Linked DNA regions of Astyanax mexicanus. The protein of the gene in region 1 purifies or fractionates together with the protein of each later gene. This does not show direct contact. Links are inferred from orthologs where the notes say so. Each region holds a gene or a part of one and is shown on either strand. Other genes may lie near its edges. The genes, in order: rbm8a and upf2.

Region 1 (16,177 bases):
GATTAGAGAGGATTTTGAAGAAGCCTGTTTTATTTAAACCTCAGACATTTCACCACGGTAAAGTTAGTTTCATTTTTGATATTCGACTTTTCGGCTCTAATAACTTCTGAACGGAGGATGGTAGCCAGCAGATACTTACATAGTCAGGACAGTACGACCACAGAGAGTGACGCACACCCTTCCTTTTACTGTTTGGGTGAAATTTGCGCAACGCCCTTTTAGCGTTAATACCGAAAAACTAAGCGCACTTTTCCTGTCAGAATAAAATGCATGTACTTCTAGACCACCTCTACATCTGTACACACTCATTTATTTACCTCCAAATCACTTCAGTGCATAAAAATGCCTATTAATGTTCCCACATAAGAATAGATGGCTTTAAGAAAAAAACACACCAATAGCTCCATATCCTTAGGGTTCATACACATCAGAATAACGGAGATGTATACTTTGAGTCATGAGGAAAATTGCACACCCATTAATATTATGCAAAATGCTCTAATTTTTTATTATATTTTATATATTCACAAATTCAATAGCATTTCAGCAACTGTGTATGTCACAGCTAGGTGGAAGCAGACACGCACACCATTTATATTTTGGATACAGTGCCAATTCTAGTGAATATTACATTTTATATATTTAAAAAATCAATAGAATTTAAACCGAATTACACAGAACACTAAAAATAAGTGTGTATGATACAGCTAGGTGTCAGGAAACACACACACTCTTTGAAATTTGGATACATTGCCAATTCTACTAATTATTAAATTATATACATTGTAAAATGTAATAGCTTTCAAACCGAATCACACAGAATAATAAAAACAAGTGTGTATGATACAGCTAGGTGGCAACAAACACACACACGCTTTATATTTATGATACACTGCCAATTCTACGAATTATTAAATTTTATATATTTTAAAATGTATAAAATGTAGTAGCTTTCATAACCAAACGGTGAATAACTTTACCGTGGTAGACATTTCTCCCAAGCATACGCTACAACAGTGTTTTTCAACCTGTGGGCCACAGTGGTCCTGCAAGGGGGCTGTAGACCAAAATTCTATTTTTTCTATTTTGCAAAGTAAAAATTCTTCCAAATTATCGATATAAAATATAGATTTTCAATACAAGATACACTAAGTTTAGACTAACAAGCTTAGTAGTGCAGACTAGCTAACAAACACTGTACTGTCATTCTACAAATTGAACAGCAGCATGGTGTGAAATAAATGGTGGATTATCTGGCTGTACCTATTGAACGTCTGATGCATCTTCAATAACACAGGAGAAGCAAGAACATGCCCTGTGATTCAGACTACTCAGCTAGAGGTGAAATTTAGAATGATTTTACACGTGCAAACTGACAGTTGGACCTAGACAAATAGGAATAAAATGTCCATTATAAACATGAATTTAAAGCTGGCTTATTGGGGCAGGTTCAACTGTGCTTATAGGCGAGGATGACGTGTCCGCGTACTTTGGTACGCAGACACATCACAATATGCAGATCAGCTAATCAGTAATACCAAACCCCTGCTGATGTCCAACCATCTGCGTCTCACCGCTATCAGAGGCTCCACCAATCAGCTCTCCCTCCTGCCCCACCTCTAAACCCATACTTCACCCAGTGCCCCTCTCATTTTTTAAGCCTTAACCAATTTTAGCTTAGGGTGAAGTCAGCTAAAATCAGGGGGTTTAGTTACCCTTTAATCCACTACAAATTCTTCACTATATCAGAGATGTTTTCTGCTAATGTTCCACTAAAGAATTGATTTAAAGTGCCACTGAACACATTTATGGAATTTCTGTCTACAGAATGTATTCAGCTACAGTAAGTTGCACTCATTACTGATAGAAATTTGCACATGCAGTTTGTCTAGTCCCTGTACAGAAGTACTGGCAACAAAATACGACTCTTTGGGGAAAAAAAATAATAATAATATCTATATCTCTATAGCTATATCTATATCTATCTATATCTATATATAGCCATTGGCACCATGTCTATTGGTGCCCTGGGGATAAGGTCATCCTTCAAATACGTACATGCAATCAAATACTCTTATGAAAACACTGTCTGCCTCCACCATATTATAAATGATTTAATGCAACTGCTTCATTGCAATCAAGTGAACCATTATTTACTAAACATCACGAAACTTTAGTTAGTTATTCTGCTAATTTTACACATTTCCAATTTTTAAAAACTGAATGTGTCAGAACAACCACATTGTAACTCTGTAAAAGAAAAGTTTGTGTTTCTTAAAAGCTGAACAAATTTACCAGAGAAACAGACATAGCCCCAAACAAAAATTTATTGAAAGTGTACACATGAGCACCATTTAAAATTAATGACTGTGTATTACTATAGGTGCTATGAGACATTGGAAACCTACACAGGTTTTAAAGGACCAGTTTCTTTAATTTTGTACAAAAAATTAAAAGTAAAACCAATACTATACAGACAACGTAACTTTAATATTACAAATGCTGCTGCAGAGTTCGTTCGGTCTTCGTTACAAAGAAGGCTACACACTGCAGCTGGTGGCAATACGGAAAACAGAAAATAACAAAAACACCAAAATCTAAAAACAGCCCATTAGAGAAACACATGCTGTCACACTGTGTGTGGAATACAAGGCTCTGTAAAAAGCAGAGTAGAGGAAATCAGCGTCGCCTTCTGTCTGGACTTCTGCTACGCCTCCTTCCACCCCTTTGAGAAAAGAAGAGAAACACACATTTGATTATTCACACTGAAGATTTAAAGAATAACACACTAACTCTTTCTGCTGTACCCTGAGTGCCCGTCATACCTGCTGTTTGATCCATTTTTCTCAATAAAGTAATGGGACCTCTCACTGATCGCACAAAGCCAAAATTTTAATAATTTTATACATAAGACATATGAAACCAAGGAAGTCATACCATCATATTCTGTGCAAAATACTAAACACTGCTAACAGTGCAGTAAATCCCTGACAATTACAAAGAGGACCTTGTTCTTATTGGACACGAAGCAATGTGATAATACATTTGTGTATCCCATAAACAGCAGATACCAAAGCATGGTATTGTAGGAAATATGAGCATTGCCAAAATAATAGCAGTTAGTTATCTACACAGAGTGAACGACATTTTCGTCATCTTTACTTTATTTACTGCTCTTATTATTATTATTATTATTATACATTGCGACTTTCTAACCTTCTTTCATTAAATGTCATCTCAAGAAATCATAGCTGATGCAGCATTGTCGAGTATCATCACAGTGCACTCAGAGGAAAGTGCAGTGACTCTGTTCTGATACATAAGCTCACAGATGCCTTGTGCTGATCAACATCACCCTTTGGAGTGAAAGTGGAGAGAGCACCATCTACCCACCCAGAGAGAGCAAGACCAATTGTGCTTTCTCAGGGCTCCAGCAGCTGATGGCAAACTGCACTGCCGGGATTCGAATCAGCATTCCTCCAATCATAGTGGAAGCGCCTTAGTCCACCGGACCACTCAGAGCCAACCCAAACTGAATTCAGTGTACCATTACATCTCTACTAGCTTTCATTTATTGTTACTCATGTTTGTATATTTGGTTAAGATCATCCTTTAACAAGAGAAATGAGAGCCAATAATTCAAATCTATAAAATACAAATAATGCCAAGCATACATATAGATAAGTATTTCTAACCTGATCAATTAGAGTATACAATGTATATATACACACAATATGCAATGGTTCAAAAAACGAAGCAATTTTGATTGTGGTTGTGGTCTTGAATCAGTAAATGAAAAACAAACAAAACAAAAAAAAAAAAGTTATAAAAGTCTAATGTATTATGATACTCACCTCCTCTTGCCCTTTGGTGGTCCCCGAACAAAGCACCAATCAACACTGATTGGCTGACCCATAAGATCTTGACCGTTCAGACCCTCCATGGCAGCCTGTGCCTCCTTGTACGTTTCATATTCCACCAGTGCGTAGCCCTGTGAGGAAAACACCAGTACAAAATGAAGCTCTGAGTAATATGACCATACTTTAATTGATCTTATTTTCTCCCCGAGGTCCACTTACAATATAAGTGTAATTTGGTTTTATATTACCTGATAAACAGGCTGCTGATATGCAAATGCCCTCTATTTGAATGGCCTGTACTGTGCTTCATACAAATAGCACTTCTTATATCTTTAGAACATAGTGAATGGGGGAGGCTGTTGTGTGGGAGGATTTATGTAAATTTGTTTAAATGGCATTAGAAAAACTAATTCAGGGTGGATCTTTTTGTTATAAGGAGGATGAATGACCCATGCTGTATATATTAACAGCTTACATAATGTTTTGAAATTATTTAAATTAACATTATACAATATTATTTTAATACTTTGAGGCAAAATCTACAACAAGCTGGAAGAGAAATGTGGCTCCCTGAGGTAGTGTAGTGGGTTCCTACTGCCTTCCCCAGAGGTTTGATTTCTTATTCTACACCAAGTCCTTGGGTGGATATAACTCTCTTAGGTTTAGTGTCACTCAATCAAACTTTATTTTTACTTGGGTATTGTCCATTTTTCATGCAGCTGAGCATTTATAACTTAAATAAAAATAAATAAATAAATAAATATCAAAATCAAATATTTAAGTATTTCAAGTGCGTCAGTAAAACACAGTAGATGTGGAAATACACCCAATGCATCTTCAATACCTTAAGTAAAAGAAAGCCTCTGTTTGTTCTTATAAAATACTGCCACTTAGTGGTCGCCTGAACACATTATTCCCAACAAATCCCTCTAGTAAGAAGACAAACCCATGGATTCACAGCTTTACACTTAGGGAGGCCAAACTTGGTTTCCAAACCAAGGCAGATTACTGTGTTTTGTAGTTTCTCTGTATTCTTTTTTTTTTTTTTTTTTTTAGTATCAGTTTTAGTAACGTATGACTAGTGTTAGCTCTAGGGAAAGTAAGGAAAAGATAGCTTAATAACAATTATAGTATGTCTAAACAGAAGGTGTACATTAAGTAAATATAGTGAAAAGTAGCTGATTGTTTCTTAATGCTGTTTTTTCATGACCAATAGAAATGAAGCAAACTGGCTTAAAATACAATTTCTTACATAGATTTTCCATGAAATGTAAAGGATTTCTTAATTCCAGTAAATCTAAAATTTTACAGATTTTTGGGAGTGTTTATCTGACATGGACAATGTTCATAGCAAAATTGCGTTGATGTGAAGTATATCGCCTAATTTGTGTGGCACGCAAATATAGAAATTGTTTGAAGGTGGAATGCTGCAGACTTGCCTTAAGGTAACCCGTTCTTCTGTCCAAGTTGAGATGCAGGTTCTTGATTTCTCCAAATTCAGAAAATTTGTCATGGATATCTTCTTCCGTTGCCTCCTCATGAACGCCAGTCACAAACAGGATCCATCCTTCAACAGCTGAAAATACAGCGTGAACAAAAATAATAGAATGATGCTTTTCTTTAATTGCGTAAAACACTCAATTTACTGAAATATGGGGTAAATCAGACTGGCTTCAAGCTCCACACACTTTAAACCACCTCAATCACATTCTTTTAACATTTTCATTCATTTAGGTAGTTTAGAGTCCACTACATTTAGTGTAAAAGGGGGAAAAGTGTGCAAACATTTTTCGCATAATATAATATAATATACTGGAAAGAATATGACTTGTGTAAATGTACATTTCATTTTATGAGGTTGTAAACTGCTTGATTAATTTATAAGAATATCTTTAGTGAGGAACATTAATACTTAAAACATGTTGGAAAACATTTATAACATTATAAAATCACTTTGATGGTGCTGAGGTTTGCAGCCCTATTAGGTGGTTAGAGAGGGGTAACAGTATTAAAGACTAATACCAGTATTAAGAACAATTAACATCATGCCAATTCTTTCCAATATCCAATCTGATAACTCACATCTTTGTGGGCCAGGCTCATCACCATCTTGTTCCACTGTATCATAGTCTTCTCTCACTCGGGACCTCGCTCCTTCCTCTGGTGTTAAAACACAAATATTTAGTTACAGAGTACAGTCAAAAGAAATATATTAGTGTTATAACCATAAAGAGAGAAAACTTTTTATTTTGCACAAAAATCAATATTACTTACCAGATCCAAATCCACGACCCTTCCTCTTCTTTGCCTTCTCCTTTAGCTTGTGGATGCTCTCTGCAAAAAAAAATAAAATACACAGATGTATTCCACTATAAATAACGCATTTGATCAGCACCATTTTAGGTAGAGTTTTTTGCCTCTAGGCAAAGAGAATACATGAAGCTGGAGCTAATGGACAACTACAGAATATTTCCATTCCACCTTAAATAGTGATGCTGATACAGAAGAACATCAATTAACAAAAAAAAAAAAAAAAAAAAAAAAACTTTGCTTCCAAGCAAACTCTAACAATAACTGCAGTCATTACTGGAACTCTCGCCAATACACTCAGACAATACTGAGAGCAGAAGCTAGCGGATTGATCTCATTCCACCTTAAACAGTGCAGCTAATTTAATGTGGAACTAGAGTGCAATAAATAGACAAATATTTATGTCCCCAAGCAAACTCAATAGGTTAGCTAAATCTAGTCATTAGACTAGCTAGCTAATACGCTCAGACAATACAAGAAGCTGAAGCAAGAAGCTACTGGATTTATTTAATTTCACCTTAAATAGCGCAGCTGCTGCAGCACCAATTAGAGTGGAACTAAACAATGCAATACAAAGGCAAGCTTCGTCTACTAATACACTCTAACAATATAGGATCTACTGAATAACCCCTGCATATTTTCCATTCTACCTTAAATAGTTTGGCTGATAGCACCATTTAAGGTGGAACTAAACACTAGAATAAACAGAAGTTTGTTTTTTCTAGGCAAAGTAGGTAAATTACAAATTTACGGTATAAAAAACACGGGAATACAGGCTGGAGCTACGGGACAGGTACTGAATATCTTCATTCCACCTTAAATAGTGCAGCCGCTGTAGCACCCTTGAAGGTAGAACTAAACACTGGAGTAAACAGAAAAGCTTGGTCTCCTAATATATTTAGAAATAAAGAACGCTGGAGCTACTGGACAACGACTAGGTATGTTCCATTCCACCTTAAATAGTTTGGCTTCATAACAGCATTTAAGGTGGAAGGATTTTTTTTGTCTCAAAGCAAAATAAGTAGGCATTACTGGAACACTAAAAGAGTGAATATGACGCTGGAGCTTCCGGACAACTACTGACTATTTCCATTCCACCTTAAACAGCGCGGCTATTCAGCATCATTTAAGGTGGAACTAAACAAGCGTTTTGTCTCTAGTAAGTGTGTGAGTGTTCGTTACTGGAACACTAATAGAGAAAATATAGAAAGCTGGAGGAACTACTGGACAACTACTGAATATTTCCATTCCACCTTAAACAGCGCGGCTATTCAGCATCATTTAAGGTGGAACTACACAAACTTTTTGTCTCTATTAAGTGTGTGAGTGTTCGTTACTGGAAGACTAACAGAGAAAATACAGAAAGCTGGAGCTACTGGAAAACTACTGAATATTTTCTTAAATACCTCAACTAAATAACGCAGACTAATAGGAAACCCCGACATAAGATAAAGATAATAAGCTAAACTGAGAGTAAACGGGTTAAACCGGGTCTGTTTGTTCGGGTTTAGCTCGTGCTAGTCGCGGCGAGGGCGGGCGGACCAGGCCTCAACCGAGCTTTACCGCTCAGTCCGGACAAAATAACAGAAACTACCCGCCCGCACAGCTACAGAACAGCTACAGTACACCACACACGGTTTAAACAGCGGGTTAAACCCGCAGTAAAGACGCACCATCACCATCCTCATCCATAGGAAAGTCTTCTCCTCCCGCTTCATGAAGATCCAGCACGTCCGCCATGATGCCTGTTCGTGTGAGCAGTGATGCGCATGCGCAGTGCGCTCTTCTCTATGCGCGCCGGTGACGCAGTTAAAGCGAGAAAGGAGAGGCGAACCCGGGCAGCGCCGCCTACCGGCTTCCAGCAGGTACAGCCGCCTCTGGAAAAAACTATTAAAAATAGCTGGATTAAAATAATTATTAAAAATTATTTCATTCAGTTCACAAAGTTTCTTCCTTACTAAACTACCTACCTATAAAATGATCATTTTTTACAGACAAGCTTTGTTAAATTGTATATTTTCTTGTCATTTTTGGATTGAAGTAATGATAATCCCATTATAGACCAATACATTTTGTTTATTTGTGATTACCTCTTATTTAACCGCAAATTCAAAAAATAATAGATTTGATTATAATTTTACATAATACTATACTATATACATATGATGAAATTTGCTAACCAAAAAAAAAGTATACCAAACATTTGTATATATACGGAACTAAATAACTATATAGATGTATTTTAGTAAATTTGCGACAGATTAAAAATAAGAAATTACATAGAATTCCATTTCAATTTAAAAACTTTTCAAATTTATTTGCATTCTATAGTTTTTTGGTTTTGATTTTATTTTAGTTTATATTATATAATATGTGATAATGTCCTACAATTGTTTCCATCAGACTTTGATTGACTGCCTTAAGTGCAAGTAAGTCAATTAAAAAGACAAGCTTTAGTTTAAAGTTTAAATCATCAACCTTTAAATATGTGATGCAACAAAAAATTATGTCAATTCATTTCACACTTCTTTGCTATCAGGGTACAGTTTTATCAGTTCAACCAATTGAAAAAAAATCTGGAGTCTTACTCATGCAAATATTATTAAAACATAATAACAAAAGAGCTGCCTTATAACATTATTAAGGTGCTACCAATTAAATGCTATTTTGAGCTTTGTATACATTTTTTCATATGGGTGATGCTGTTATATTTTTAAGGAGCTACTGAAACCATTGAGCACTTGTTTTGTTTATTGTGAATTTCCCTATTCTTTTTGGGTTGATCATTTTCTGGCTAGCACTGCTGGAGCAGCATTAGCATTAGCTGCTAACCACAGCGCTAGCTCTTTCTCCGTTTAGAGGCGAGTATATCAGACTGTAGCCTGCACGTTTACCGTGTTAGAACAAGCAACATGGGACAGACTGTTAGCTAATATCGCCCCGGCTTACAGGAAATCTCAGGGTTCCTCAGTGTAGCATTGTCTGGTGGAATTAGCCGCTAACTGCTAGTGGTTAGCCGTTATTGCTAATGCTCCAGCTTTAGAGGAAATCTGGAAATCTAGGCTTACTGTTAATAAATAGAAGCACTTTACTCACCCAAATAAACAGTTTTCAGGAAAGAAATCTCTGTAGATGAACATCCAGCACTCGTTTGCTTGTCTGACTAGTCTAAAATGCTTTTTTTAAGAATTACATTTTAGTTTACTTAGCATAGCTTTACCTGCTGAATGTAGAAGGAAAACATGACGATATCCCTGTTTCTACTAGTTACTAGTTAGTAGTGTCTTTATGTATGGAAATAGATGTTTACTGGACATTTATTGAAAGTGCACCCTATAATCCGGTGCGCCCTATAGTGCAAAAAATAAGGCACACGAGATAGAAACTGCAAGAAAAATACCTTTATCGCTTATCTTTGTTTATATAGATCTCACAAACACATATAACACAGGTCAGTGCAGGACCCAAGTAACATTTATATTTATATATAAATATATAAATATATATTTACAGTAGCTACCCTGCTACTATGTGTCTGCATACAATAAAATTCCCCTCATCGTGATCTAATAATCTTAAATAGCAGCCTGTATCCTATACGTATATGGTCTATATATGGCCACCCTTGCTTCAGTTGCATTCAGTTCACTGTTTCCTCTAACCCCACTCTGTCTCTCTCGCTTGCTGCGTTGCTAAGCAAGTTTTTTTTTTTCAGATTTTGCCCCAATTATCTCCTCAATGTTAGTTTCAATACTTCGGCTCATGCTGGGAGCTGGAGTGCTCAAATCGCCCAGAAGAAGGTCATTTTAGAAAATGCGCTGCCTCCCATCGGGCCAATTGACTGAGCCATTGAACTGGGATTGGCTTTGATGACGCCACTGGAAGGAGCACAAGTGCTGTTTTTAAATGTGAATTCGGCCATTCTGCCGGCCTCTATGGGGGTTCACACATGACAGAAAAAGGCAGAAAGAAAGAGAAAAACAGGGCTGCCCAGGCCTCTGACATCTCCGCAGCTCAGTAGTGCAATATGTACAATACAACAACCATCACAACGACAGGGCTTTCACAACATCTTAGGCAGCACAGTTGAGGAAAAGTGAGCGTAACAACAAATGTGGCACCAAAAAACGAAGGACTAGGACAGATTTTGATTATACTGAACACCTGCTTTTTTACCTGCTAAAATTAAAACAGCACTTCACTTTTTAACATTTCTATTCTCTATCTGCCTGTTCTTAATGTGTATTCAGTGTCTCCAGACTATAATATATATTTGCATCATGAAATTAGTCTCAAACAATAACTGTTTAAGGGCCATTCCACTAAATGGGTGCCATTTGCTTGTTGTAACTCTTCCAAATGAAAACCACTCCTGTTACTTAAACTCAGTCCTGTTACTGGCACTCACTCCTGTTATTTTTTGTTATGAGTAACAGGACTAAAAGTAACAGGAAATCATAGCATTACCGTTGACAGCCCTAGTAACTACGCGTCATGTGACACAGACAGCAGCAGCTGTCTTTGTGGTTTAAACATGTGGAGCGACGAAGAGCCACAAACACACAAATGTAGAAGTATAAACACCCACAGGTTATGCCATAGACCAGGAGTGTCCAAACTATGGCCTGTGGGCCATTTTTGGCCCGTTTCCTTTTTTGGAGTGGCCCGCAAGATATTTTGAAAATAAACTGAAAGTAGGCCCGCTATTAAGCAGGTTTTTATAATGTGAGATTCAAAGTTTGAACGCTGGGTGTTGCTATCACATAAACTCAATCTAAAACGCTCCTCACCTCCTTTTCTCACTTCATTATATCTACAATATTGTTCCTGAGCTTTTGGGAGAACATGGCAGCTCCAAAGAAATGGAAAATAGACAGCAAATGCAGAAAATTTCAGGCACGTTGGGAAAATGACTGTTTTTTAACTGAGCTCAGAGGGAGGTGTGTATGTTTAATATGTCAGGAATCAGTAATAGACATTATGAAATGAAACATCGATTTGAAAATCTTAGTTTACACAACACTCTCAATGACAGGTAAAGATAGTAACTCAAGTAAAATAATGTGTAAATGATAGTTATCAAGAAAATGTATTATTATAAGTGGTATATTTCATTATTTGTTTTATTACAGAGTCTGTGGCCCGTGACTGCACATTTATTTTTCCTTCTGGCCCCCAAGAAAAAAAAATTGGACACCCCTGCCATAGACAGTGTGATGACTTCACAGAGAAGTATAAACCAGAATTTAGGAATTAAGTGATTGAGACTATTTGCGTTATATAAAGCAGAAGAGTTGTAGTCAAACTGTTGCGTAACTTGCTAGTTAATCACACTATTATTAATAATGTGCTGTTATTGATCTATTAGCTGTGCAAACTTTCCAATGTAGCATTTCTTTGCAACTTTTGCACATACTATACATAAAACATATGATGCCGTTGTTTTGCATTGTTATTAGCCACGTAGGATTCCCCTGAGGATGAAAAAAAAAGTGAGGCTAAGTGATGAAGACGAGGACTTGTTGAAACTGGTATTAAAACAGGCAGCAGTTTTGTCTACAGTAATCTACGTTACAGCAGATAAATTAGATTAAGTATTAATTAATGCAGAATTTGCACATTGTACTGTATTTATTGTCTATTGTGCTCTACTTGTCTGTCCACCTTATCATATATTTTGTCTTTTGCTCTTACAAAACAACGGCAGTGGGTAAACTTACAAAATCAGCAAGGGATCAAATTATTATTATTTTTTCACTGTATATTTATAATACACAATGGACATCTATGCTTATATAGCAAAATGTGGTACCACTTTAAAATAACACTACCTTTATAAAGGGGTTAAGAATGGTCTATAAAGGAGATTATTAATGGTTATTAATTAGGCTACAAACTTTAAAACTCATTAATAAGCAGTTAATAAATAAATAACAGTACTAAGTTAAAAAAATGGCAAACACTCATTTCTACTGTCAAACCTCATATATTTCTAGATACTGATCTTACTTTGTGTTTTCCATCAATCAGCATTAAACTTGTCATATTATATATTATATATTTGTAAGTATGTTTAACTATTTACTATAAATGAAATGACTCAGTTAAGTCAAATGACTAAACAAACAAAGGATCACTGTTGCCTTTTTAATTAATGTGTTGTAACTGCTTATCAAAGGTTTTAAGGCATTCACAACCTAATCAACAATACTTAAAAATCTAATTTATAAACCCTTTATAAACCCTTTATAAGGGTAGTCTTATTTTAAAACCACTTTAAAATAAGACTACCCTTATAAAGGGTTTATAAAGGGTTTATAAATTAGATTTTTAAGTATTGTTGAAAAAATATTAATTAAAAATGAAATAAATGTATATATGTAAATGAGTTTGATACCCCTTACCAAATCAGACTGAGTATGAGCAGGTAAAATACTGTATCCTCTAACAGACAAAAAAACCAAGATACAGGTCAGTGTGTGGTCATGACCTTTTATCAAACTGAAAGTGGACTTCAGCTGAACGTTAGTCAGCGTGTATCACCAGCACGACCTGCAGATAAAGCCAATCAGCGGCTGATATAACCACAGTCGTGTTGGCAAGACCAGACTTCGACCTGCTGAACAGTAAACTAACATGTAACTGCTGTGTAGTCACTGTGCCACAGGTTTCATCAGCACACATAATCATTATCAACGTAATTCAGCAATAAAAAGCATGTTGATAAAGTGCAGAGGGATTGAAAACAAACCAAAACGTGACAAAGAAAGAAAATACATAAATTAAAGCCAGTCAAATTAAATAAAAAAAGGTCAAAAAACTGTAACGTCATTTCACATCACATGCTGTACATGAGTTGGAACAAAACTGTATTCCCACAATCCAGTTCCACCCAAATGAGCAATTGTTAAAACAGGTAAATATAAAGATAAAGTAAAATAAAGATAAAATAATAATAAAATATTATTTTGTCCATGCCCTTTTGGAGTAATTTCAGTCAGCCGGTCACTCCTGGGAAGGTTCACCAGTGTTTCATGTTTCCTCCATTTGTGAATAATAGCTCTCACTGCGGTCTGCTGGAGTCCCAAAGCTTTAGAAATGACTTGTAAACCTTTTAAACAGTTGCAATTAATGTAATGTTTGGGATTTTGTTTGCTTATTTTACCAGGAGTGTACTTAGTGTACAAATTAATAAGTAAATATAACTTAAAAAAAAAAACGGATCTTAAGCTATTAATGTAATACTAACTGTTTTAGTCTTTAATTTAGGCATTTTCTTTCTCAGATGTTTTTATATTATATTAAAATATTTATAATGAAGTTAGATTTTTTTCAACATATTGTTTAAGAATATCAGCCAGAAAATATAGATATTGGGATACCATGATTTTTATTAAAAGCAGTCTATGTTGTATGTGTTTTGCTATTTGCTGCATTTACTTTTTTTATTAATTAATTTTTCATTATGCTACACTAATAATATTTCATACAAAGTATAGGGTATATACTACTTTGTTTATATTTACACAAATATTTCACACATTTCACATATTAGTACATAGTTTGGGCTAGTTTGGTTTGGACAGTTTTAGTTTTAGTTCCTTTAATAAATAAAATCACCAGCTTTATTTACACTGAAAGGTGCCTGCACCACAATGCATGTTTTAAAAATACTTTTTTTTTTAGCATGCTTAAGGCTTAACTACACACTCTTACTAAAAACTTACAGACTGTCACATTAAATATAAATATCTACAATAGATATTATGATTACAGCCTTGCTTCATACCTTTAAAAAACTTTTTACAAATATTGTAATATAATATTTTACCACAACACCCACCCCCTGGTTAGGCCTCTCAGCCTGAAATCATTTAACAGGAATCAATATCATAATGACAAATATTACATATACTGATATATTTGAGGTGTTTTAATAATTAAAACATGTATGTACAGTGTAAATTGGTGGTAATTATTGTATTTCTATGGAATAATGTACATTATGTGTAGTTAGTGTTGCTGATAATGTTAAAGATTATCGCTGAACATTGACTTTAAAACTTCACAGTGCCAGATAAAGCCTCAAGGTTCACTAACGATACTCACACACATTACACTGAGTGATCTCATCAATTCAGATCACCCTTTGAACCCTGCTCTTCACTCTGACCCAGCCTGTATAAAAGACCTCAGCTCCTGAGACAATGCACCTTCAGGTCCTACATTACCCCACAGAGAAGGTAAGACCTCTGCTACCAGTCTGTGTCTCTCACTTTTACCAACCTAAACATAGTTATAGATGGCTGTATATAGATTCTTTTCTATGGTGGAGAATCTTTTGATTTAATTGTTGTATAAATCTTTAGAGAACCTTTTAATCTATTGCAATTAATGCAATGTTTCTTTTTATATTTTAATCAAGAGTGTGCTTAAATAGATTAGTAACTAAATAGCACTTTTAGAAAATGGATATTGTAAGCTATTAATGTAATACTAACTGGTATAGTGTTTTTTTAGGCATTTTCTTTTTCAGATGCTTTACTAATATTAAAGTTTAAATAATGTTACTTTTTTTCACCAAATTGTTTAACAATATTATCAATAAAATCTATATATAGTGATACTATAGTATTACTAAAAGCAGTCTATTTTGTATTTGGTTTGCTATATTTGCTGTATTTACTTTTTAACTAATAATTTTTTCATTATGCTACACTAATAATATTTTATACAAAGTCTAGATTAAGTTACTTTGTTTGCCAAATACTACTTTGTTTATATTCACACAAAAGACATATTTATATGAATTATATTTATGTACAGCTCTGGAAAAAATAACAAGATCACTTCAGTTTCTGAATAATTTTCTCTGATTTTGTTATTTATAGGTTTATGTTTGAGTAAAATGAACGTTGTTATTTTATTCTATAAACTACAGACAACATTTCTTCCACATTTCAAATAAAAACAGTCATTTAGATAATTTATTTACAGAAAATGAGAAATGGCTGAAATAACAAAAAAGATGTAGAGCTTTCAGACCTCAAATAATGCAAAGAAAACAATTTCATATTTATAAAGTTTTAGGAGTTCAATATTTCAATCAATATTTGGTGGAATAACGCTGGTTTTAATCACAGTTTTCATGCATCTTGGCATGTTCTCCTCCACCAGTCTTACACACTGCTTTTGAATAACGTTATGCCTTTACTCCTGGTGCAAAAATTCAAGCAGTTCTTTTTGGTTTGATGGTTTTTGGTTTGATGGTTGAGGTTTTTAATTTGGTAAAATCAAAGAAACTCACCAATTTTAGGTGGTCTCTTATTTTTTTCCCCAGAGCTGTATATTTATATTTTTAATTTGTAGCAATGGTATATAAAAAAATGAAATAACCCATCCATTTATTGTGTTTCTATTGCAGGCACGCCTTGCTCAGTCAGTCTGCAATCATGAAGTTCTTCCTCATCGCTGCCCTTGTTGTTGCTCTGGCCATTGGTAAGCTTTATATAAGACTAATAATGAATATAATTATTAATATAAGAATTATATAGAAGCAATACTGTTCATATTTTATTTTTAAGGACATTAACCCTAGTTGCACTTTGTATCTCAGGCTCTGAGTCTGCCAGCCTGGCCAAGAGAGAGGTGCCCGAGGAGCTGCAGAAGATGGGCCAGTACTTCCAGGGCCTGGTCGATGCTCTGAAGACAGTTGAGGGACCTGAGCTGGCCAACATGGCCAAGTGAGTTTCAGACATGCACTGTTTCTGAGCTTTTTCACTCACCTGTGTGTAGAATCTATACAGAACTGGCATTTTTAGAATGCTTAAAATAGTATTTATAAAGATATTTAACATTTTATAACACATAATTGCATTTATCAGCTTTACTGACAGAATTAATGATTTAATACACCTTCTGTGTTTACATAATTAAAAGTTATTTTACTACAATACCCAGAATGCACTATAGCATAGCCACTGCTGTTTTTGAGATTACCAAATAGT
Region 2 (15,933 bases), on another chromosome or scaffold:
ACACTGTCAGACATTTCTTGGGTAACTCAAACCTGGTAAGCAAGGAAGCTAAAACAGACAAGGCAAATGGGTACTGTGCTAAGCTAAAAGCAAACACTATCCAATCAGCATTTGCCATTTCTTCTCCAATGCCCATTTCCTCAAACAAGATCTAACTTATTAGAAATGTAAATGAAAGCCAAGCCTGGTCAGTGAGTAGTGAGTAAATACTGTGCTAGGCTTAATGCTAATGCTAATCAACTGAGTGGTCAAGCTGGTTTCCAGCTTAGATTTTGATCAACATAGGCTATGTTTTCATATGATTTTGGTTTATGGTTTAGCTTGTATACAATTATGATCAATCTGAACAAGCTAAACAACTTGTGCGGCAGTAGAACTGCCTCTCCCTTCTAAGAGGATTTTACATCAGATGATGGACCATTGCTGTAAGGATTTAATTGCATTAAGCCATGAGAGCAATGGTGTTATGATATACTGATACTAGATGATCAAATCTGGATTAAAAACACCACTCATCCCATAGTTAGTGAAGATGAAGATACACAAATTCAGGTAATGTTCCAGAGCATCACAGCCTAATGCTAGGGAACTTCATACATCTGTATCTGACAGGAGGCATAGTAAATTGTTTTCATGCTCCAGTGTCTTATACCATTGGCATTGGTTTCAGATGTAATGTTTATATTGCCCACATACTTGGCACTGGTGACTTTAAACAAGCATCACATGCTTGAGACAAAGTTATTTAACCATAATTATGATGCCAATATTTTCTGGCCCATTTAAAAAAAATATTTTTTTTTTGTGTTGTCCAATACACACAAAGGAAATAAACATCTGTATAACAAAACATATGATTGCAATACATTTCTAAAATAATAATTGCTAGAAATACCGTTGGTGTGCCAACACTTTTGGCCATGACTGTAAAGTATGTTTGCTGCTTAACCAGGTGCTAAGAAGGTTTCTCTGACATCATGAGGCATTTCAATTTCAAACACCAGCGTCCAGTAAACCACCGGCGTGTTTTTAAGAGAGTGTCTGGGGTGAGTGGACTGCATTCCAGCACTCTCAGTCACATGTGCCTTTCTGGTGAATTTCAGCACTGTGTGATCGCTTGTTGGATTCCATGGAAAGCACATAAAACATGTTTCTGCTTTAAATTTGCAACAAGAGGTTAAAGATTTATTAGTGGCTACTGTTCCATATGTCCACTTGATGCCAAATCCCTACGTAAAGTAGACAAAGACTGCTGATATCTGTAGTAAGGCTTGTAGGCATATGCTGAACAATTGTACTTGCATATGGTGACCATATTTTAGATTTTTTTTTTTTAAGAGGACAACACTGGAAACATGCCGGTGTCTGCTGTGGTTGGGATGTTGTCATGAGGAAGTTCAAGGATGGCTAAGTTGACGCTAAGTTAACGCTTTAAGACGCTGCCACCATTATCCAAGGATCACCGGTTTTAATTCACTGGCACTACCAAAGTAATGTTGGTCAGCACAGGCATCTGTTAGCTGATGTATCAGAGCTTGGGAGCAGTGCTTACCTCTAAGAACACTTACTATTTTAGCAGAAGTTCAAAAAGAGACTGTGGCTAACTTCATACGTGTTGGAAGACGTATGTGCGAGACTTTACACTTCTAGTGTTGGGGGGATAGTGATACTAGTGATTCCTAAGGATATTATACACAATACAAAATGTTAAACACATCTTAATCACTTAATTGAGGTGTTTCTATCTGTTGCATTGCCACATGTGTATAAATTTAAGCATCTAGCCCTACAGTCTGTCTTTACAAATATTATAGAAAGAATGGCTGGTTCCAAAGAGCTCACTGAACTCCATTATGGTCCTGGAATTACAAAAGGGATATTATAATCGTCTTTAAAATGAAAGCTTTGAGGAACCACAGCAACTAAGTGCTACAATGTGTCTGACAGTTACAGTAAAGTTACAGAGTGGGATCTTTGAGTGCCGAAAAGTCCCCAATGCTCTGCTGATTCAATAACTGTAAAGTTCCACACTCCATATTAATGCAGATGATTCATATCAATGCATATATGTTTAAAATCGGATGTAATAAAGCTAATGTACATGTAATGTGTGCATGTACCTTTACTTTTTATGACCAAATCATCTTCTTTTATTTCAACTCAAGTGAACAAAAATACTGCTTTTACCATATTTTACATTAATTTTTTTTTTTTTGTATGAAAATAAAGTTTGATTAGAATATTTTAGCGCACATGATGTATTTTACGGACTACAATTTTGTGTAGTTGGTTAGATTCAAGCTTTTATGGATCTTTCAGAATATTTGGTCCACATGGTTTCACTAAGAGACAATCATAACATATTTTTCTTTTACTGATTTTGTGTTTATTTATTTTTTTTTTAGGACTGCTGTTCTGTTCTTGTTATACAGTGTTCTGTTTTCTCTTTTTAGTTTTCTTTCCCTTTCTCTCTATCTCTCTATTTTTCTGTCTTTTTCTGCAAAGCGGGAGGAACAGTGGCTGCATGTAATTACATGCAGCAGGTACATATAGACCAATAGTGGGGCCGAAAATGCAGGACTTAAAGAGATGTATTTAAAGCTGTAAAAATCCTTTAACAGCACGAGCGCTGACCTTTAGATGCACACACTGACATGAGATCACTGCAAGCTCTGGAATTTAAAAATCCAGACACACCTTTGTAAGATCTCTGATGTCTGGGGGAAGAGATATTATATAGTCACCTTATACTATCATGCATCAGGCTGGCCGCTGTTTGGTGTGACTGCAGACTTGATGAGAGGCAGATACGGCAGCAGAAGCCTGCCACACAGATGCTTGCTTTGAAATCCCCACAGTGGAGCTGTCTGAAGAGCTTTAAAGACAAGCTGTGACCTGTAAGCAGATGAGGCGTGTCCCTGATAAAGCCTCAACCTGCCAGTCAAAGGGTATATAACTTCCAGACAGTCCATCAGTCCTCTCCCACCAGATGTTTAAAGTGTTCTGGTTTAAGGTCTGTCACGGTTATGAAGTGAAGATAAACCTTTCTCCCCTTCACCCTTTGAACTCACTGACCTTAAACCCTCTTTTTTTCAGCACTGTACCCCTCTGCCTTCAGAGTAAAGAGAGGAACACCAACTCTACTTAACCCCTCCATCCAGAAAACTGTGGAGGACACCAACTTAGTCTATGAGGTATGTTCCCTCCACTGTTTTTACCTTGTATTGTGTTTTGAGAACCAACAATCTAAATCCCTAATCAAGAAATACAATTTTGGCAAGACAAAGGGATAAACAGAGACACAAAAAAGGTCTGCAAAGGACGATGGTCAGAAACAAAAATGAGGGTTACACAAGCAATAAACAAAGGAAACGCATTGTAGCAGAGCTAGCTAACTAGATTCAATACTCGGTGAGGGACAAAGAAAACAGAGAGGTATATATACAAGACAGGCCAGGTGCAAACAATCAGTAACTGGGAGAGTGGGAATGTCAAAGCTTCACGTGATCAGCAAAGTCAAGGAAGTCTGTTGTAAGTGCATGCTGGGAATTGGAGTCTTTGTTGTGTAGTTCAGAGTCCAGAGCTGGCAGACTGACAGCTACAGGACTGACAGTCACACTGTACCATATTATTAAATATAGGTGTGTCAATAAATACAGGGTATTTGATGTCTGGTAGGTGGTGTGCACTGTCTGGAGCTATGTGGGAAGCTTGTACCCCACCTGTTATATAGTGTATAATGCACACTGCAGGTATAGAACATCACACATCTGCCTCGAACCATGTGGATTTATTCTCTTTAACATTGCAATTGCAACATACAAAGCCAAATGTACTGTATGTAGTGTTTAAAGTAAAACATGTATTGTGTAAAGTATTTCTCACTATCTTTATATTTAACTTTATTTTATAACGTGTCTTGGTTGACTTATTGCATGTGGGTAAAGGCAACAATGTTTTTGACCAGTACCTGTCAATCAGCATTAAAGTAGAAATTGAAATGACACTTACAACATGACCAAACCTAAACAATTTAGACCTTAAATTCATGTAGACAAACACAAGATAAACACAGACTTTCTTACATCAGTTTTTCTGTCTGACTCCGAGATCCTCACAGCATTTTTTTTTCTTTAGCCCAATGGAGCTTCTACTTTTTTCCAATACTTTTGTATCCATCAACTTCTCTTCACTGAGGTAAACAAGGCAAGCAATGATGCTACTAGCACAAACACCACCAGGCAGTCAACAAACCTGCACATACAGACTCATCCTGTTTCTCCTACAGAAGCCCTGAGCTCCGTCTCTACACTGCTTTGAAACAAATTAGGCTGCTCCCGAACACACTGTAGAAGAGTTCGAGTGTTTCTGTCTGTCTCTTTCAGAAACAGAGTTTTTACCTTCAGAAGTACCAGGAGAAAAATGAAATTCCATCACAACACAATCTCTGACTTTTTCATGAAAGTAGAATGGAAGTTAATAAAACAAGAGTGAGAGAAAGTGTGATGGTAGAGAGAATCTGACAAACTTCGATAACGTGTTTCTTCAGGCCCTGTTCAACCTGGGCAATGGGCTTTAATAGAAAATGTAAGCTGCAGGAACACTGCTCTCTGGATAGAATGTGCTCCAGTACAATGTAATATACAATATAAACCCCTGTTCCTAATGGAATTTATTAGGAGACTGAAGAGTTGCAAGAAAAATAGCAGTTAATTATTAGGTATCTTATCAAAAACATATCAGTAATGTAGCAGCATCTGAACATTCAGTAGATCATCAACAGACTTTTACAGAAGATGTCTCCTGAATTCAGTTGTTTTTCACTTTCATGGACTGAGGTTAAGTTTAGGACTAGTGTCAGGATAATGGTTAGGATTAGGCCTTGTTTTGAGGTCAGGATTTGGATTATGGCCAGAGTTAGATTTAGGTTTTCTAAAGTTCGGGTAATGATTTGGACTGAGGTTAAGGTAAGGGGTAGGTTTTTGGACTGAGGTTAAAATTAAGATTAGGTTTTGGACGGAGGTTGAGGTTAGGGTATTGATTTGTTTTAAGGTTAGGGTTATCATATGGATTGAGGTTAAGGTTAGGGTCAGGTTTTGGACTGAGGTTAAACTAGGGTTAGGCTTTGGACTGAGGTTAAGGTGAGGGTATTGATTTGTTTTAAAGTTAGGGTTATCATATGGATTGAGGTTAAGGTTAGGGTTAGGTTTTGGACTGAGTTTAAGGTTATGGTTAGGTTTTGGACTGAGTTCAAGGTTATGGTTAGGTTTTGGTCTAAGTTTAGGGTTAGGATTTGGACTGAGGTATGGCTTTAGGTTTTGGACTGAGGTTAAGGTTAGGGTTAGGTTTTGGACTGAGGTTATGGTGAAGTTAGGTTTTGGTCTAAATTTAGGGTTAGGGTTAGAATTTGGACTGAGGTTACGGTTACAGTATTGATTTGCTGTAAGGTTAGGGTTATGTTTTGGATTGAGGTTAAGGTTAGGGTCAGGTTTTGGACTGAGGTTAAATTTAGGGTTAGGTTTTGGACTGAGGTTAAGGTTAGGGTTAGGCTTAGGCTTTGGACTGAGGTTAAGGTGAGGGTATTGATTTGTTTTAAAGTTAGGGTTATCATATGGATTGAGGTTAAGGTTAGGGTTATGTTTTGGATTGAGGTTAAGATTAGGGTTAGGTTTTGGACTGAGGTTAAGTTTATGGTTAGGTTTTGGACTGAGGTTAAGTTTATGGTTAGGTTCTGGACTAAGTTTAAGGTTAGGTTTTGGACTGAGGTTAAGGTTACAGTATTGATTTGTTGTAAGATTAGGGTTAGGTTTTAGACTGAGGTTAAGGTTATGGTTAGGTTTTGGACTGAGGTTAAGGTAACAGTATTGATTTGTGGTAAGGTTAGGGGTTATGTTTAGGGCTGAGGTTAAGGTTATGGTTAGGTTTTGGACTGAGGTTAAGCTTATGTATAGATTTTGGATTGAGACTGGAATTTTGGAATTTAATCTCTAATTTGACTACTGGTGCTGCTATACGCCATCTATTGTATCAAAACATAAAATACAATCTGTCAGCTAATATCACGGGACTTCAGCTACCAAATGGAAATAATAGGGTTGGTGTTCTGACTGAAGGTCACTGACAAATAAGAAAAACTGACAGATATCCTGTCAGGGGACTGGTCACACTGCACAGTCAAAATGAACTGTGGCATTACAGTCATAAATATATATATATAAAATATTTTACTAATGTTCAGGTCTTTATCAATACATTGTTCAATATTCAGTATTATTATCAGTAAGTAAATTTAGATTTATTTGTAGGATACTATTTGTAGGATTTTATACCAAATGTAACTGAAACAGTCCAAGGAGTCTTTGCTCTAAATGTATCTCTTTTAATAATGTCTGTCTGTATGATTGTCTGTCTGTTTGTGGCTCAGGCCCTGTGGTCAGGGCTGTATGTGGATGCCAGGGAAGGTGTGCTACGCATGGCTGATGAGGAGTTAGCTTCTCTGAGGCGGCTGCAATCTCTGGAGGTGGTCTGCGAGGACGTCCTTCCCAGAACACTGTCAGACATCCGCCGCCTCTGCCACCAGCTGGAACAGCATCGGGGTCACCTACACAAGGAGGACTTTGAGCGAACTGTGCTCACCATGGTGTACACAGCTCAGAGACTCACACAGGCAACTGCAGGCCACCAGAGGGAGCTGTGGGCAGACACCTTTCTTCAGCTTTATAAAGCCATTAAAGGAGATCTAAGAGCAGAGTGACAGATAACTTTCTTTATTAAATGAACTTTTCAATAAACTTTTAATGAAAGGAGTGGTGATAGGAGTGGTGATAGAGGCCTGTATTTTTATTTTTGTTTGGTTTGTTAAAGAACTGTTATACAAACTTATTAGACGTGTATATGATAAATGAAACATTATATTTGACTTGTACATATGATATATGTATATGTGTATGCTTAGTCTTGGACACCCCTGTTCAAATTTGGGATGTACTCAAGTCAGATTTTGTATGTCGGATTTGTCTGTATAATATCTGACTAACCTACTGTATTTGTTCCTTTTTTTCATGTAAACTTTTAGAAACATAATTGAGCTATCCGCAAGTTTCAGTGATCATTTTTATCTCATTAACATAGACAAATGCTACATGGGAACCTATTTTCTGAGCCTTAAAAATCAATAAAAGGCAGCTGCATATGATTTAAGACTGGAATTGTGGCTTATTTGAGTTGCCAACATATAATGTCTGACTGCCATATGGATTTGTTAAAATAAATAATAGTTATCTGCAGTAACTTCCCCCAAAATTCCAAATTAAAATATTGAGCATTTATTTGAAGAAAATGAGAAATGGCTGAAATAACAAAAGAGACGGAAATCTTTCAGACCTCAAATAATGCAAAGAAAACAAGTTCATATTTATAACGTTTTAGGAGATCAGAAATCAATATATGGTGGATTTAGTTCAGCTTGGTTTGATGGCTGTGATTCAGATTAATTTTAATTTAGTAAAATAAAAGGAAAACTCATAATTTTCAGAGCTGTACTTAGGAAACAGCTTGAAAAACACCCACACCTGTACAAATAGAAAGGTGATATCATGTGAGTGAGATAAAAAAAAAAACTGTCCAGTGTGCTCATGACAATACGACTTGAATGATCAGAGTTTTTGATTAAGCGATTCTGGCTTAAATTACTTTCACACTTTCAGAGGTGTACATATACTTTGTTCTGCAGTAGGATTAAGTTGGGGAAAACAACTAACCTAGTTAGCTAGAGATGCTGAATTGTGAAAGTATATTTATAGACCCACAGTCACAATGCGCTGAACTGAACAAAATGAAAGCGTGGGAGGGCATGAAATCCTCAGTTTGTGATAATTAAATTTGGAAACGCGGCAGTTTATGAAACTGCATCTACCTTATGTAGCTTTAATGCAGGAGTAGAAAACCCCAATAGTGTGTAATTTCAGGAGGAAAATGGGAAAGGTTCACTAGAGTTAATTCGTGCACCAGCTAGGTCTACACCCACATCAGTTTATGAGCTGTTATGATAGCTAACCTCTCTAACGCGCCATGATCGACATGTTCTGCTCTTCCTCTGGACCAGACTGCAGCGCTGCTTATTTTGTTCAGGCGCACGAAATACAGAGCTAGATTTGGGGTCCTTCCTACCAAAGCAGGCAGAGGAAAAAGTAGCCCACCCAGCTAAAACTGCCCTATGTTGTTTATGTTGTTTTGAAGGTAAGATAACGGGGCTGGTGGCGGTTTGGGGAGGGTTTGTGTGGGTAGTGCGGGGTATCGAGCAGCTCGGTAATGTTTACAGAGCGGCCTGAAATTCAGTCGAGCTGAGCTGAGCTAACACTGTTATTACTGACACTCTGCTAACCACTTACTGATTCACCGAGAGGCGGACAGACAGCTATCTAAAGACAGCTTCAGATAGACAGCAGGAGCTCTGCGTTTATTCCGCGCTGTTGGATTGTTAGCGATATATAGCGGGGGTTAATGTGCGGAGTGAGGGGCGCGTAAAGTGTGAAGCTAGTTAGCTAGCGTTAGCTAACAACTCTCGACAGCTAACAGCTAGCTAGCTAACTCGCTATTATCGTTAGCTGTTTAGATTTCTATGGCAAACGGAGTTAGCTCACTTGCTAACGGGCAAATGCCGTAAGATACTTCTATTATACGCAATTTTACAATAACTTGTAAGTTTATTTAGGCCATAATTCAGTTGGGTATGTGGGAATTAGCTAGTTAACTAGCTAGTATTCGGGCGGAAATAAAGAACGAACGCGGTAAACGTAGACAGTATAGCTAGCTAGCTAGCCAGGTTGGCTAATTTTATAGTTAATCATAACTTCGGTTCATGTTTTGAACAGAACAGCTGTCACTGCTACAACTGCAGCTCACTCACGTTACATTCTCCTGGTGTGCACTATGGTGTGTTTGCTTCTTCAACATAAACTAATGTTGTTCTAATGTGTTAACTTATTTATAAAAGGTATGAACTAAACTATTACCTACGTTTGTATTACTAACTACAGTGGCTAGCTGAAGTTAACGCTAGCTAAATAATGTAGCTTGTTAGCTAGCTGGCTTTCTCTTGTCTAACGAACGCTGGCTAACTAAACTAACTTTTTAAAAGTTGTTAGATTTACGCGTTAAATAGTACACCTGTCACACAGTCGTTCTGCTAAATATAGCAACATAAACGCCTTTATTTAGTTCGCTTTAGATTTCAGGTTATTGTGTGTGTAAAATGTTATTTTTTTATGCTGTGACTTTTAACGTAACAAACCAGGTTAAGTGTTTACTACATTCAGATTTCCGCATTACTGAATCAAAACAGGTTGCTCCACACAAACTAGGTTGCTGGATTTTCTCACATGCTGTTTGTGTTTGACAGTATTTTGTCCATGTACAGTTAAAAATAAATGTAAAATTGGTAAGGATATTTTTATGAGGTTGATTTTCTGCCAAAAGTTTTACACAAAAATATAAAATCTTATTAAAAAATTAATTACAGATTATATTTATATAGAAACACAAATAATGAAGCACAAACAAATGAGAGATTTCAACAGCAAACTCCACAGAAACACAAAAATAAAAGAAAAACTAAAATAATTTCCACATAACTGCAAAGTTTGTGATCACACACTAATAGATGTTTTCATGATAGTATTTATCATGTGGCAGATATGCTAATCTGCTGTTTAAAATACTGTTTTATGTATAGTACAGTGATTTTGCTGCACATCATCCAGTTTAACATGATTAATTACACTCTCTGTAATTAAATGTACAGTTGGGTTAATGTTCTTTAGGCACTGATGATATCCCCATAATCAATCAAGTAAATTATTTTCTGTTTTGAATCTTAAACATTTGATTGCAGATTTAATATTTTTGTATAAAAATACTTCTATATTTAAGTGTTTGAACAGGGTGTGACTGTTGAAATAGTACTTGGCCTCTATAAATATTGTGACCCCTCACAGACACTGAGAGGAAAGTTGTAACTAAACCAATGAAAACCATTATATGCCAAGTTTCCATGGCAACCTGTTGATTGCCATGTCATACATTTAATTTCTTAATGTAAAAGTGGTTACTGCACATCAGTTGGTTGTTACTAGTTAAGACACAACATATAGACTTGTGGTGTAACCACATTTAGTGAAAGGATAGTTTAAAGCTAAGTAGTGTTATGGACTTAGTAGAGACTTTACATACAAACTTAAGAATGAGACCCAGCTCTGGTCCTTTATTAGCTACCATTGCCCTGGTAGAGATTCCTCTAATTCCAACACAGGTGATCCATAATTAACTCATTACCTGTTGAGCCTTTGCTGAGACAAATGGCTATATTACAGTAGGAAAACCCTGTAGAATCACTCTTTGGCAATAACAGAAAATGTTGATGTTTCTATTTGCTTGCTCATGCTGTGTTTATAGAACATCCCAAAATAAAAAGAAATGTCTGATGTTTTAGCAGGATGCCTGCTGAACGCAAAAAGTCAGTGAACATGGATGACAAGGAAACAGTCTCCTACACCAGCAAGGAGAAAGAGCGAGATAGAGATGGGGATAGGCGACCCACGTCTTCCCGAGACAAAGGCAAAGATGAGAGCAAAATGAGTGGCAAGAAGGATGGCAACAAGTCTGCGGATGACAAGAAGCGTCGAGTGGAGGAGGAGAAGAGGAAGAAAGAAGAGAAGGAGCGTAAGAAGAAAGAAGAAGAAAAACTAAGGGCTGAGGAAGAGCAGAAAAGGAAGGAGGAAGAAGAGAAGAGGCAACAGGAGGAACAGGAAAAGAAGCTGCTTGAGGAGGAGGCCAAACGACAGAAGGAGGAGGAGGCTGCTCAGTTGAAGTAAGATTTCTGACAGAGGTTTCGACTTTGACTAGTTTTAGCATTTCTGTATAGTGCCAGTGTACAGCCCAGTATGTTCACAGGTAATCTAACAAACTGGACAAAAATTTTAGAAGAGGTTTAAAAAAGATCTATGAAACTATAGTATGTTTATAGTTCCAATTAGATTTACAGCAGCATAGACTGACTATATAAAGGTAAATACCTCCTATGTAACATTTTCCCCATTGTTTATAAACATTATTGCCCCTTTTCCTTTAAAATATTTGAGTATTTAATATTTCTGACAAATTGTTAAGCATTTTATGTGAACCCTTTCATCCTCTGTTATGAGTTGATGTTTGAAAGCTATTATCACATGCACTGTATCACAATTACTGCACAAATGTTATTTTGTTATGGTATTTTTATATTTATATCAGTCTCAGAAGTTTAAAATGGACTAACTATTATCTAACTGTTGGTGTACATGTAAATGTAGCTCTATTGCTGCAGTTTTCAGCTAATGTGTTTGTGTTGTAGGGAGAAAGAGGAAGCGCAGCAGCTGCACCAGGAGGCATGGGAAAGACACCAAACCAGGAAGGAGCTGCGAGGTAAGAACCAGCATGTGCAGGAAAGCCGTCCCGAGGAGGCCTTCTTCAGTCGCCTGGACTCCAGTCTCAAGAAAAACACTGCGTTTGTCAAGAAGCTCCGCACACTCACAGAACAGCAGCGTGATTCCCTCTCGCACGACTTCGCTTCGCTCAATCTCAGCAAATACATTGGAGAAGCCGTCAGCTCACTGGTGGAGGCCAAGCTTAAGATTTCTGATGTGGGTTGTGCTGTACACCTGTGTTCGCTGTTCCACCAGCGCTACGCTGAATTTGCCCCTCTCCTTCTGGCTGCGTGGAAGAGGCACTTTGAGGCGCGCAAAGAGGAGAAGGCTCCAAACGTGAGCAAGTTGCGCACTGACCTACGCTTCATTGCTGAGCTGACTATAGTGGGTCTCTTCACTGATAAGGAAGGGCTCTCTCTCATCTATGAGCAACTGAAGAACATTATCAGTGCTGACCGTGAGACTCACACTCACGTTTCGGTGGTAATAAGCTTTTGCAAGCATTGTGGAGATGACATTGCTGGCCTGGTGCCTCGTCGGGTGAAGAGTGCAGCTGAGAAGTTTAACCTGACATTCCCTCCGAGTGAGATCATCAATATAGAGAAGCAGCAGCCCTTCCAGAATTTGCTGAGAGAGTATTTTACCTCTCTTACCAAACACCTGAAGAAAGATCATAGAGAGCTTCAGAACACTGAAAGGCAAAACAGGTGAGCAAATGTCATAACCATCAGCCCAGTGTATCTCTTTAGTGTAGGTGTACTGGAGCTTCTTCTAAAAACCTCTTATGCTCTATTTCCTTATCTTTCAGGCGTATTCTGCACTCTAAAGGAGAGCTGAGTGAGGACAGGCATAAACAGTATGAGGAGTTTGCCACATGCTATCAGAAACTGCTGGCCAACACCCAGTCTCTGGCTGATTTGCTGGATGAGAACATGCCTGAGCTGCCTCAGGATAAGACTGTCCAAGAAGGTACAAACTCATGCACAACAGGGTTTTTACAACACAAATTGGTTTTGATATAGACCCTTCAAAAAAGTCAAAATACTCTGGAGGTTAAGCATATTCAATCACGAATTGCCAGTTCATTTGAACAAGTGTATGAACCAAATGAAATGTCTGATGTTTATAAATAATACTCACAAATATTATCTAATAATGTCCTTATCATCTAATGCATTTAATGAGGTGCACCTCATAAGTACTGGTAAATTAACAGCTAGCCTAAAAAAAAGCATTTCTAATGACCATATTTTAGCTTTACATTTCTTCCATTTTAGTTATGTTACCTCAATCTCACAATATTGTTCAAATGAATGTTTAAAGTTTTAAACAACAAAACATTTTCAGTGGTTTCAGTTCAATTTGTTGTTTACACCAAGATATAGTCCAAGACTTAGTGAACCAGCAAACCAGCCCTTTGTTTTCAGACAAACATTAAGCGTTTTTGTTTATTGCAATAACACCTTGTGACACAGTATTTAATGTAATAGAATTTGCAAAAGTTTGTTATGTAATAACTTTCAGTTTTATAATGGTTATAAACCCAGAATAGTGGTTAAATGTGGTTTTATGAGTGTCAGGAGTTAATTAGTAACATAGATCCCTACAGAGGTGTGTGAATTACTATTTATGTTGTATGAACAATGTGTTTGTGTGATGTCTGTGTTGCAGAGCATGGTCCAGGCATTGACATCTTCACCCCGGGGAAGCCAGGAGACTATGAGCTTGAAGGAGGAATCTGGGAGGATGAGGATGCACGAAACTTTTATGAAAACCTGGTAGACCTGAAGGCATTTGTTCCTGCCATTCTGTTCAAGGACAATGAAAAGGCCTGTCAGAGCAAAGATAGGGAAGAAAACAAAGGTAGTAAATGGTTGCTGTCACTTTAAGACCTGAGGTCTGATAATTAAGTTGAGCTAAAGTGGAGTCTTTGCTTCCTCTTCAGAAACTAAGGAGGGACGTGATGGGAAAGAAGCAAGTTGCACAGAGGAGCTAGAGCTGGAGCTTGAGGCTCTGGACATCACTGATGACCCTCTGGAACTGGAAGGTGCTGATGAGGCAGAGAGTGAAGAACTGGCCAAGAAACTACTAGATGAGCAAGGTGGTTATAACATGATTTACTTAAGTGTACATAAATCAATACATTAATTTCTCCATATTGTCAATTTCAATACCTCCATATAGTATTACATTGTAAAACAGTAATTACAAACTGCAGTCCATCAGTTCCTCTGCCTCCGTTCACCCTCTTCATTAATGGTCACAACCTCAAAAGGCCACCACAGAACATATTATTATATTATTTAGTTATTAATATTTATCACACTCAGTGAGGCAGTGATACTGACATGATGATGGCAGTAAACATCATCATAAACTGGAAACTGTGCAGCAACAGATGAACATCTTTCTCTAACTTTACATCTATGGTGGACCATTTAGGTAGAAGTGTTAGTAAAATGAACAGTAGATGTGTATGCGTTATTTAAACACTCCAGTAGAAATGCTGTGTGATTCACTATTTGCAACAAAACATACACTAATATTCTACCACCTCCAAATAACAGCGGCTCTGTGGTGGTTAAACAGATTTAACCAGGAGGTGATGTTAAAAAGTGACCTGTCAGTGAAATAATTAATATATAATAAATATAATATAAAGTTATAGAGTTAAATTAAGTACTACATTGTAAAGAACAGCAATTTAATGTTAATGCACCTCTAGAGAGACTGTTTGTTAATTTATTGTCACTGTGTGCTTGTTTGCGTATGTGTGTGTAGAACAAGAGGATGAAGATGCCAGCACTGGATCTCATCTTAAGCTCATCGTTGATGCCTTCATCCAGCAGCTTCCCAACTGTGTCAACAGAGATCTTATTGATAAGGTAAACCTACATTTATGTCTTGCATACCAGAGCACCCAACTCTTCACTTGTCATTCTATTTATTTTGCTCCGCCTGGTTTCATGATATCAGGCGTTCTATAAATAGCGTGTTGAATGAGAGTGTGTGGGTGTACACTTTATAAACAATACTAGGCCTGTTGCACGAGACAGAACTGAAATATGTAGGCCTAAATTTAGATGTCCAGTAGCTGGCTTTTCTGTGTGTGTTTATTGTCTTGTAAAATGCTGATAGGAAAGAATAATATGATATTCAGATATAATGTAAAATTATTTTTTTATGTGCTTTTAAAGTAGTTTAAATATCTTTGTGTGTATGTTTTACTTCAAGGCTGCGATGGACTTCTGTATGAATATGAACACAAAGTCCAACCGCAGGAAGCTTGTTCGTGCCCTTTTCACTGTTCCCAGGCAAAGGTGTGTTCATTTTGATCTTTGTACATGCAGTGATAATGAATTGACACTAGATAGAGCTGTTGCTTTATCTAACATAGCTCTCTCTTTGGATCTTTTTCTTGGAGACTTTGATCTCTGCTAATTTGTGTTTTCTTTTTCTGCTGTTAGACTGGATCTGTTGCCATTCTACTCAAGGCTGGTGGCTACTCTGCACCCTTGCATGTCTGATGTTGCGGAGGATCTCTGCTCCATGCTCAAAGGAGACTTTAGATTCCATGTTAGTATCTTCCTCTTGGCCTCGTATGACAGTTTTTACACATCTATACCCACTTACTCTGCTAACCCAGCTTCATGTCATGATTTATCCATTTCTCTTGTAGGTGAGAAAGAAGGACCAAATCAACATTGAGACCAAAAATAAAACTGTGAGATTTATTGGAGAGTTGTCCAAATTCAAAATGTTTTCCAAAACAGACACTCTGCATTGTCTGAAGGTGAGAAAACATTAACCAGGGTACAATTCACTACTTTTATTTTACTGATATTTTTCTTGTGTATCTAATAGTGTATGTGCTTTGTCTCTAGATGCTGTTGTCTGATTTCTCTCATCACCATATTGAAATGGCCTGCACTCTGCTGGAGACATGTGGACGTTTCCTCTTCAGATCACCTGAATCCCACCTGCGTACCAGCGTTCTACTGGTGAGGCTTATAAATAAGCATGCAAAATTAATGTATTTTTGGTTTGCAATTAGTTCCACAGGTGTCCCTGTGCTGTCTAGTAGATTAGGCTCATTTAAACTGCCTTTATGTTCCATATTATTCAGACTATAAGGCGCAGCGTGCCCTTTATAATTCAGCGCGCCTTATGTATAAATTCTACCAGCCCGGTATTAAGGAGGAGTAAAGCCACTTCACTAAAGTACCACATTATGAGGGTTAGTTTTCAGTAAAAAAAAAAAAAAATCAGAACTAAGGCTGCGTGCAGCAGCATTAGCATTAGCATTAGCCACTACCACAATGCTAGCTCTTTTGCTGTTCCAGTATATTGGACTGTAGTCGGTGTGTTTGCCATGTTAAAACAAGCTACATGGGACAAACTGCTTGCTGATTACACCCTGGGTTACCTGAACACTGACTAACACATTCCTCAATCTAGCGCAGTTGTGAAG

What was found.
Region 2: the proteins of rbm8a (region 1) and upf2 purify together in Homo sapiens (co-immunoprecipitation; 6 studies listed by BioGRID and IntAct, with this or other methods). This does not show direct contact. The link is inferred for Astyanax mexicanus from reciprocal best matches to the Homo sapiens genes RBM8A and UPF2.

Annotation. Positions count from the first base shown.
Region 1 is NC_064408.1:115,216,393-115,232,569, reverse strand, and holds rbm8a (RNA-binding protein 8A), read right to left. Parts: upstream 7,965-16,177; 5' UTR 7,911-7,964; coding exon 7,844-7,910; intron 6,195-7,843; coding exon 6,135-6,194; intron 6,021-6,134; coding exon 5,943-6,020; intron 5,437-5,942; coding exon 5,300-5,436; intron 3,992-5,299; coding exon 3,855-3,991; intron 2,726-3,854; coding exon 2,680-2,725; 3' UTR 2,310-2,679; downstream 1-2,309. Other genes in the region: type-4 ice-structuring protein LS-12, read left to right, coding at 15,623-15,668, 15,787-15,913.
Region 2 is NC_064409.1:45,002,837-45,018,769, reverse strand, and holds the start of upf2 (regulator of nonsense transcripts 2), read left to right. Parts: upstream 1-8,079; 5' UTR 8,080-8,238; intron 8,239-8,323; exon of another isoform or gene 8,324-8,934; intron 8,935-10,489; exon of another isoform or gene 10,490-10,492; 5' UTR 10,493-10,493; coding exon 10,494-10,867; intron 10,868-11,389; coding exon 11,390-12,169; intron 12,170-12,270; coding exon 12,271-12,431; intron 12,432-13,133; coding exon 13,134-13,325; intron 13,326-13,407; coding exon 13,408-13,563; intron 13,564-14,243; coding exon 14,244-14,347; intron 14,348-14,696; coding exon 14,697-14,782; intron 14,783-14,929; coding exon 14,930-15,038; intron 15,039-15,141; coding exon 15,142-15,255; intron 15,256-15,346; coding exon 15,347-15,463; intron 15,464-15,933. Other genes in the region: protein FAM180A, read left to right, coding at 3,097-3,194, 6,425-6,754. UniProt on the Homo sapiens protein: Involved in nonsense-mediated decay (NMD) of mRNAs containing premature stop codons by associating with the nuclear exon junction complex (EJC).